Linked DNA regions of Macaca mulatta. The main gene of each other region encodes a partner of the protein of the gene in region 2 in a complex. Links are inferred from orthologs where the notes say so. Each region holds a gene or a part of one and is shown on either strand. Other genes may lie near its edges. The genes, in order: CDK5 and CDK5R1.

What was found.
Region 1: the proteins of CDK5R1 (region 2) and CDK5 are in contact, whole or in part, in a crystal structure (PDB 3O0G), measured with the Homo sapiens proteins. The link is inferred for Macaca mulatta from reciprocal best matches to the Homo sapiens genes CDK5R1 and CDK5. Residues at the interface, in NP_003876.1 of Homo sapiens: Trp190, Gln193, Thr197, Pro198, Ala199, Phe203, Tyr231, Leu232, Ser235, Tyr236, Met237, Gly238, Asn239, Glu240, Ile241, Ser242, Tyr243, Pro244, Leu245, Lys254, Glu255, Trp258, Asp259, Cys261, Leu262, Ile265, Asn266, Ser269, Ser270, Met272; in NP_004926.1 of Homo sapiens: Leu37, Asp38, Glu42, Gly43, Pro45, Ser46, Ser47, Leu49, Arg50, Ile52, Cys53, Leu54, Lys56, Glu57, Val69, His71, Leu76, Arg120, Asn121, Val122, Leu147, Arg149, Ala150, Phe151, Gly152, Ile153, Pro154, Arg156, Cys157, Tyr158.

The regions. Positions count from the first base shown.
Region 1 is NC_133408.1:190,485,662-190,490,016, forward strand, and holds the start of CDK5 (cyclin-dependent kinase 5), read right to left. Parts: upstream 2,887-4,355; 5' UTR 2,817-2,886; coding exon 2,780-2,816; intron 2,133-2,779; coding exon 2,044-2,132; intron 1,947-2,043; coding exon 1,879-1,946; intron 1,768-1,878; coding exon 1,707-1,767; intron 1,608-1,706; coding exon 1,551-1,607; intron 821-1,550; coding exon 725-820; intron 579-724; coding exon 504-578; intron 345-503; coding exon 248-344; intron 68-247; coding exon 1-67. UniProt on the Homo sapiens protein: Proline-directed serine/threonine-protein kinase essential for neuronal cell cycle arrest and differentiation and may be involved in apoptotic cell death in neuronal diseases by triggering abortive cell cycle re-entry. Interacts with D1 and D3-type G1 cyclins.
Region 2 is NC_133421.1:42,047,519-42,052,013, reverse strand, and holds the start of CDK5R1 (cyclin-dependent kinase 5 activator 1), read right to left. Parts: upstream 2,988-4,495; 5' UTR 2,910-2,987; intron 2,606-2,909; 5' UTR 2,461-2,605; coding exon 1,537-2,460; 3' UTR 1-1,536. UniProt on the Homo sapiens protein: p35 is a neuron specific activator of CDK5. The complex p35/CDK5 is required for neurite outgrowth and cortical lamination. Involved in dendritic spine morphogenesis by mediating the EFNA1-EPHA4 signaling. Activator of TPKII.

The DNA.
Region 1 (4,355 bases), on a different chromosome or scaffold from region 2:
AAGATCCTCTTCAACTGGTCATCAACATCATTGCCGGGAAAAAGAGGCCGCCCAGCATTGGCCAGCTCTGGGGGGCAGATAGGGGGATAAGATGTGACATGTGAAGGACCCCTCACTCTGAGGTGCCCCCTGACCTTCCAGCCCCAGTCCCAGAGCCTCCCTCCCTTCCCCTAGAGGGAACCCTTCAGACCCTATTTGTCAACCCAAATGGGAAAGAAGGTGCCTCTGGAGCGCCCCAGCACGTCACCTGCAAAGATGCAGCCGGCTGACCACATGTCGATGGACGTGGAGTACAGCTTGGCCCCAAAGAGGACATCCGGTGGGCGGTACCACAGTGTGACCACCTGGAGGAGACCGCCCCCCGACAGGGGACTCCCACTTAGAGGGCTGGGGAGGAGGTTTGAGGAGGAGGCTCAGAGAGGAGAGGAAAATAGTGTTTTGGGTCCTGAGGTTGGAGCTGAGGGACTCCCTCCCCCAATCCCATATCCCATCTCCTAGCTCACCTCAGCTGAGTAACAGCGGACAGGGATCCCAAAGGCTCGAGCCAGGCCGAAATCAGCCAATTTCAGCTCCCCATTCTGAGGGGAATGGGAAGGGGACATGGAGAAGGGCCTTTAGGCAGCCTTGGGACAGCACAGACTCCATCCTCCCAGTCCTCTTCCCTCCGTGCTCCCCATGCCCTGGCCCCAGGCTTCCCACTCCCCACCTTCTTCCCAAGAAGTACCCTGTTTATTAGCAGGTTCTGGGGCTTCAGGTCCCTGTGTAGCACATTGCGGCTATGACAGAATCCCAGGCCTTTCAGTAGCTGGAAGAGGAATGACTGGGAGGAGAGCAGGCAGAAGGGAGTCAGACGCCCTGAACATGCAACTGTGCCCAGCAATGGGTGGCTCCTCTCCTCACCCTGTGCTTCACTCCACCCCACCCACCTTTCAGCACTTGGTTCAGAGTGACACCATTCATTCGCCATCCAGAACCTGCTTTATACTGTACTAGGCATTAGAGGGACAAGAGTGAAGAAACTGGCCCTGGTCCCCATCTTCCTGGACCATATAGCCTAATGGGCCTTGCCAGGTGGATCCTAGATCCCGCCTAGATCCTAGCCCATGCTGATCTTCCCTTCCTGGCGGCATCTGAGTATGCACACGATACTACAGCACATAAATATCATGCTGTAGTATCATTCAGGACTGGCTCCCCTGGAACCTGGACCAAGACATTTGGTCTTGGGCCTAGAAGAGCACCTGGCACACAGTGAAGCATTCAGTAAGTATGTATTGAATGAATGAGTGTATCTCCTTGAACCTCATTTTCTCATCTCTGAATGTAAATACTATCACTGACGTCAGAGTGCCACTGTGTGGGTCAAAGACGACCACGTGAAAATGTTTGCTAAGACTGGAGGCTCCTAGAGGGCAGAAACAGGGTTTTCTCATTCTCTGACATCCCAGAGCGTCCCTGTTCAGGGCCCAAAGTTAGAGCCCAAGGAGTGCTTACACTGAATGCAGACTCTGACCCCAGCCTGAGGGGTCCCCCAACACCACTCTCCTCACCTTTACAATCTCAGGATCAAGGTCACCATTGCAACTATCAAAATACTTCTTCAGGTCCTGAAAAGGGATATGAGTGGGGGAATGGGACAGAGTTTAACCTCAGTCTGGGCCCCTATACCTTCCCAAGGCTACTGTCCCCCAAACCCCGCCTTTCACCTGGTCACAGAATTCAAAAACCAAAGTCAGCTTCTTGTCACTGTGCAGGACATCATGAAGCCTAGGGCAAAAGAAGGGCTCAGCCATGCAGGTCTGCCTGACAGACGTCCAGTGTCAGCCCCCGCCTCCCCCAAGCGGCCACACCGGCAAGGAGCACCCGCCTCCCGCACACCTGACGATGTTCTTGTGCTTGAGCTCCTTGAGTAGGCAGATCTCCCGGAGGGCAGAACTCGGCACACCCTGCATATGTGAGGGGGCCGGGTGGGCAGCAGTCAGATCCCACCCAGCCCAGGCCCTCAACCCCCTCTCCAGGCCCTATCTCAGTCCCCAGTCCTACCTCATCATCGTCATCCAGCCTCACCCGTTTCAGAGCCACGATCTCATGAGTCTCCCGGTTTTTGGCCTTGAACACTGTTCCGTAGGTGCCTAGGGGAAGGAGGTCAGGGGTCAGGGGGAGGATGCGGCACTCTTCCCTAAGCCAGGAAATGCCTCCCGGGAGGTGAAGGCAGCGTCTGAATATGCAAAGAAAGGGATTCAGGGTGAAGGTAGGTGGGTGAGCTTTGTGAGTGAGGATGTGGCAGGTGAGGAGGGAGGAGAAGGTGCCCGCGGAGGCTCCAGGGGCTCAGCAGGAGGGGCGAGTGCGGCTGCGAGGGCAAGGATGTCTAAAATGAAGGCGGTGCTCCGGAAGGGTCTGGAAATGGTGAGGAGGGGCCTGGGAGAGGACTGACGGGCTGCAGAAATATTGAGGTTGGAGGTCTGCAGCAAGAACCGAGGCTGGGGCTCGGGGTGAGGTTGTCCAAGTGGTGCTGAGGCTGGGGTGAGAAATTCAGGAAGTGTCGCGGTTGGGAGGTCGGGTCTACTGGGAACGCTAAGGTTGGAGTGAGAGCCTGCGGGAAATGCTAACACGGGGAAGACTGGTGTCTGCACGGAGTGCTGAGCTCGGGGGCCAGGGCTGCAGCCGCTGCTGAGGTCGGAGCCTGTAGGTATTGCTGACGGTAACGGAGCCAGGGCTGCAAGGAATGCCGAAGGATCTGCAGAGGGGCTCTTGCAGGAACATCTTGAGATTCCATTACCTTCCCCAATCTTTTCCAGTTTCTCGTATTTCTGCATCGCGGCGGCCGCGGGGACCCCTGCGGGCCCTCGGTTTTAAGACTCTGGCCCCGGCGTTGCAGAGGAGGCGGCACCCGAGCCTCCAGCCCCGCCCCGCCTGGCCGCGCAGTACCTTCTGGGGCTTGTAGTCCTAAGACAACAAGGTCTCCCCGCAGTGCCCGAGACCGAGGACAAGAAGACTACAAACCCCAGCCGTCTGCGCTCACGCTCTCTGCAGCACTCGACTCCAGGGCTCCGGTTCCACCGCGGAGGCAAAACCCTGGACTTCAAGTCCCAGGGAGCAACGCGTGTCCGTTTTCCGGGCGCCCCGCCGCGGCGCCGCGGTTCCCAGCGTGCCCCGCTGTTGTTATTCCTTTTATGTGCTCCCAGCCTTCTTGAAAAGGGCTGCTCCGGGACTACGCGTTCCAGAATGCAGCGGGGATGGGGGCGGAGCGCTCTCGGTTAGGGGTTTGGGGTTTGGCGGCCTAGATCCCGAGCCTTGGCGGCCCAGCTCTGACCTGGTTGGTGGCGTTGAGTTCCCAACGGCCTCTTGACGACCTCAGCACGGGTTTCCTCCACCTCTCCCCAAGCCACCTAGTGACACCAGGATTCACTGGGGAATGCATGTGAGCGATGATGACCTCACAGGGAACAGCTGACCGCAGGGCTGGGAAGAGAACAGCTGTGCCCCTTTGAGGCTGGATTTTAGTGGAGGGACACACGCCAAAGACCCCTCTCTCTGCTGGGCCCCGTTTGTTGTCTCGGAGCCCACCCGACTCCAGCCGCTGAACTCTGACATGCTGAGAAAAGCTGGGTGGAGCCCTGGAGGTCCCCCCAGACCCCAGTCTCCGGAACGGGGCCCACTGGAGTCAGCCAGGGTGTGGCCGGCAGGTTGGTTAACCCCCTCCACAGACAAGACCACAGACCGATGCTCAACTTGCAGCAGCCTCTACCTCATCCCTTAAAGGAGTTGATTATAGATTCCCTTGCGCTGCCTCTCTAATTGTCTCATGATTGCATTCTTGAGGGCTACGGACCGAGGGAAAAGGATCCCAAACAGCACTCCTCGGCACCGGAACCAGAGTTACTGCCAAACACGTGTTAATTAACTCGTTTCTATCTGAATGCTTTTGCATACACAAGAGAAAAGAAGCGAAAAGTACATTCCTTATCTGGAAGACTTTGTGATTTCGTTGGGCAAACAAGAACTACACACAGGTCTTGAATGATAAGTGATGACTATGACTAGGGTTCGATTCAGTGTGGAGGTTCCATTCAAGAGGAAGGAGGCCACCATAGCGAATCTCTGTCCCTCTCAGGAAGTGGGGAGCCCCTAACAAGTTGCCCTCTCCCAGATCAGCTCAGGGTACTGGGCAGCCAGCTTCCAGCCGCTGTCACCCTTCTCACCTGCTCGCCACCGTCCCTCAGGGGCTTTCTTGGAGGCACGGGGGTTATTTGGGAGGGGGGCCGCAAGAGAATCTCAATCCCGATACGTTTATGTTTCGACTTCTCCGAATTTCCTTGTGCCTGCGTTTTACTGCCTGGGATCCGTAGCGTGAG
Region 2 (4,495 bases):
GCCTCCGGCCACCAGGTTCTGCTTCAGGACTCTTAACACTGGGACTTCAATTTCACAGCTTTCTTTTTGTGTAAATTTCAGTAGTGCTTGTGCTGAAATTGGTAACCACCTTGAACCTAATCCTATGTAAAGTGACCCTCTGCCTCCCCACCCCAGGTCCCCATTCCAGCACTCCCGGGGGGACTGGGCCTGGAAGACAGAATCCTCTGTAGCGTCTTCACATTGGTCTTTGTTCTCCACAGCAGAGTGACGGGCCATGGAGGAAGGCTTGCTCCCTCTCCCAAGTCCCAAGCCACCAATACGGGAGAATGAGAAAGAAAATCAATAAAGTACACATTTGTGTTTTTACAGCCAGTAGGGGAAGGTGGAAACCAAAACCAGCAGCGGCAAATGATCAGTTGTAGAAATCAGCAGGCTTCCAGAGCAATCAGGAGTCTCACTCCCGTCTTGTAATTGTCTCCAAGATCCAGCTGTCTCACTGGTCCCTGTAGGGCAAGTCTTCCTCTTTAGAAGAAACTCAACTGTTTGGAAACAGCTTTAAATTAACAGGGGTGGGGGTGGGGCCACCACATCGCCTTCCCCCCAGCTCTGCAGGACAAATGTCATGTGCACCAGCAAGAGGCCTTAGCCCTTAGGTGGGCACCGGCTTGGTCTCAAGGTATGGCATCCCTCACCTTGCCCAGAAGGCAGGCGTTGCTAATGGGCACCTGCAGCTGTCCTGGCATTTGCCACAGGGCGACTGCACTGCATTATTCAAAAGAAAAATTCACCCAGGAAAGTCGTCTCCAGCTTCACCCCACCTCTTTAGCTGGGACCCAAAATGAGAAAAAGTAACGAGTCAAAGCAGCTCATCGGCCAATACCAGCAATGCGGCTGTGAGCAGCAGACAAGGGGGCAACGGGCGAGTTCCATTTCTCCACTAAAGGAAAGCCCTTCTCCCTAAAAAAGAAAACAGCAAATCAGGGCGGTGTGTGGTCAAACGACCAGACACAGTCTTTCCACTAGACCTGCTCAGCTTCGCCTCGCCTAGATTGAAGATGTCCCAGCGCAGCGGGGATCCTGCCTCATGACCCCACTGGCAGCTCAGTTAGGGTGGATGGCTCCAGGAGCCTCTGGGAGAGCGAGTAACTCCACACAGGAGCCAGAAAAGGGCCTCCAACCAGAAACCCCAATTCCTCCCTGGGTCAGGCAGCCAGAGTCCCCTCTCTAGCGCCATACAGGGTGCAGCCGGCAGCCTCGCCTACCCTGGACCCAGCAAGGGCACAGGCGGCAGGGGCAGGTCAGTTCTTTGAGTTCCCCAAAGTGGGAGGTCAGTGGCCTGGGTGGCTCCGAATACATCTTCTGGGTTTTGCGCAAGGCTCGTGAGTTCAAAAGTGCCCAGAGTTCTTGGCAGGGCTGAAAAAACCCCAGGGAGAGACTGTGGGAAAGGTGAGGCCCTTGGTGGCTTTGCTAGACACATACTGTACACAAAACTGATTTAATAATAAATTTTTAAAAATGCATTGAATCCTTGAGCCATGGCGCAGGCTACAGTGCTCACCGATCCAGGCCTAGGAGGAGCCGTTTCTTGTCCTCCTGGCTGCTCTCGTTCTTCAGGTCGGAGAAGACCTGTGTGAAGTAGTGTGGGTCGGCATTTATCTGCAGCATCTTTGAGCTCATGAGGTTGATGACAGAGAGGCAACGGTCCCAAAAGGCCTCCTTGCAGCTCTCCACCAGGAAGGGCTTGAGCGGGTAGGAGATCTCGTTGCCCATGTAGGAGTAGGAGAGGTACAGGCACGTCAGCAGGACGGCCTGGAGCTCGTGATCCGAGCCCACCTCGGAGGAGATAACATCCCTGCAGAGCATGTAGAGGAAGACCACGTTGGCCGGCGTGATGAAGCCCTGGTCCTGCCAGCCCTGCAGAAGCAGCGAGCGGTCCACGCTGCGCAGCCAGAGCACGGGGTCCGTGGGGGACAGGTGCTTCAGGCGGTAGCACCGGCGGCAGAGAAACTCACCCAGGCAGCGCAGCAGCTCGCTGGTGGACGCCTGGACGATGACCCGTTTGGGCGTCCCTGCGGAGGTGACGGCAGGGTGAGGGGCTTTCTTGACCGAGGAGGAGCCCCCGGTCTGGGAGCCCGAGAGCTGGCTGGCCGGGGGTGCGGGCGGCTGGGCCGGTGGGGGCTGGGCGAATGTGGACAGGTTGGCGCACGACAGCGACTTCTTCAGGTTCTCATTGTTGAGGTGCGTGATGTTGTTCTGGTAGCTGCTGTTGGGCTGCACCTTCTTGGAGTTCTTCTTCTTGGCCGACACGGCCACGATTCTCTTCCAAGGCAGCACGGAGATGATGGAGTGGCGCTTCAGGTTCTTGTCCTTGGCGTTCTTGCTGTTCTGTACGGCCGTATAGTGGCCCACGGTGGCCGCGCCATCCTCAAACAGCGTGGCCTTCCGGTAGCTGGGGGACAGGGACAGCACCGTGCCCATGGTGCCGCTGCGCGCCGGGCGGGGGCTCGCGCCCCTGCGCGCCCAGCCTGCCGGCCGGAGGGATAAAACCACTCACGGAGCCTGCGGTGGCCCCGGGGAGGAGGCGGGGGCGCTCCCGGGAAGCGTGCTGCCCCCTTGGATCTGCCTGGAAAACAAGATGGTTCTTAGCGCCAAGCTGGGCTCCGCGCCGCGCCCCTCCGCCCCGCGCCTCCGCGGACCCCGCGGCCCCAGTCCCGGGCCCTACCCGCGGCCCCGCGCCCCCGCGCCGCAGCCTCGCCGCCTCCACTGCAGCACCCCCGCCCGCCGCCGCCGCTGCGGTCCCCAAGCGCAGCTGGGAGGGGCCCGGGCGCCGACGGAGGCGGACGAAGACCCCCGCCTGGACACCCCGCACGGGCGCGACCCGGGCCCGGCTCCTCTGGGCCAAGGACGGCCGCCCAGCGCAGGCTTACCCGGCAGGCGGCAGCTCCTGCGCTCCGCGCCCTCCGCAATGCGCGCCGCGGCTCTGCCGCCGCGGTCCCGGCGCTCGGGAGCGCTCGGCGGGGATCGGCTGTGCCCGCGCTCGGCGGCGGCGACGGCGGCGGCGGCGGCGGCTGCGGCTCGGCAGCTTCTGTCCAAGGTTCTGCAGGCGCCGCGGCCCCGCCCCCCGGCTCGGCCGCCCGCACCTTCGCCGCCGCCGCTGCCGCCGCCGCCGCGCTCCCGCTCCCGCTCCCGGCGCGCGCCTCAGCGCCCTCCCTCGCGGGGCGCGCGCGCAGTCCACGCGCCGGCCTGGTCTCGCCGGGGAGTTGCGGCCGTTGATGTCCTCAGCTCGAGCCGCGCACGGTGCAGGTAGGACGCGGCGACGAGCGGGAGGCACCTCTACGCACCGGGCCCCATCTAGGAGCCGGACTCGGCGGCGGCGGCGGGACACGCGGCGCCGGCCCGCCCCGCCCCTCGGGACCGCCCCTCCCGCACAGCTCGCCGCCGGCTCCGCGCCGCCGCCCAACAGCAGCCCGGCCGCCTGAGAGTCCCGGGCGCCCGCGCAGCCCAACTCTGCTGACGCTCGGCGGGCGCCGAGCAGGGCGGGGCTGAGGGCCGACCCCGCCCGCGCCCCGCCCAGACACGTGCTGTCTTTGTTCCCGCCGCGGCGCCCGCAGCTGCCGGCCGCGGGGGCGCTCTCGGCCGAGTCCTGCCCTGGCAGCGCGCGGCCCGCCCTCTCGGAGGCTGCCGCCCGGGCCCTGGTGAGGAGCCCTCCGCCGAGGCCAGGGCCGGTAGCTCCCTCCTTCCACCTGACATCCCCGTCCCTGTGGAAAGCAGCCAGGGAGCGCGGGAAAGAAGGCCCTGGGCGGGGAGAGGCGAAGCCTTTACTGAGACCTCCCAAGTGCCAGGCGCACCTCGAGTGGACAGTCCCATCGTTTCTGGCCACCCTTCTGGGGCCTCCGTTCCCTCATCCCGGGGTAGATGCCCGTGGCCCGAGTGGGCCTCAGAAATCCAAGCCAGAGAAGCGTGGCCCGTAGCAGTTCCGGGCCACCAAGAGCCAAGCCTGAGCCCGTCACAAATATGACCTCGAAGTTCCCACTCGCCCTCTTTGTTGTATTAAAGCTGAAGCAACTGCCCCTCTGGCCAGCTTTCTGACCCTCTTAAACGTTTTCAGTTCTAAGTATGTATAATTTAAGAACTTGATGCTAGCGAAATTGAGTAAAATTCTGGTTCTCAAAGAGCTGTTCCTGTCGGATGTGAATCCAGATCCTTCACAAAGGCCGTTGTTCATTTACTATTTTACCTTGTTTCTGGAGATTGAGTCAAAACTGACCACAAACCTGGGAAACAGGAGACTTAAGCCCTGTCTTAATCCAGATCATCTCTGGACCTAGAGATGATGTAGTGGCACTCCAGAGGAGAGGATGACACCCAATTACCTGACCACTCTGGCCCACTAGGCTTTCACCCTGCACCAGCCCTGTCAACTGCCCTAGGGGGAACAGAATGGGAATCTGACATCATTCAAAATGCTGCAATCACGGCAGAAAGTGCTGGATTTTGTTTATGTGCCACTCAG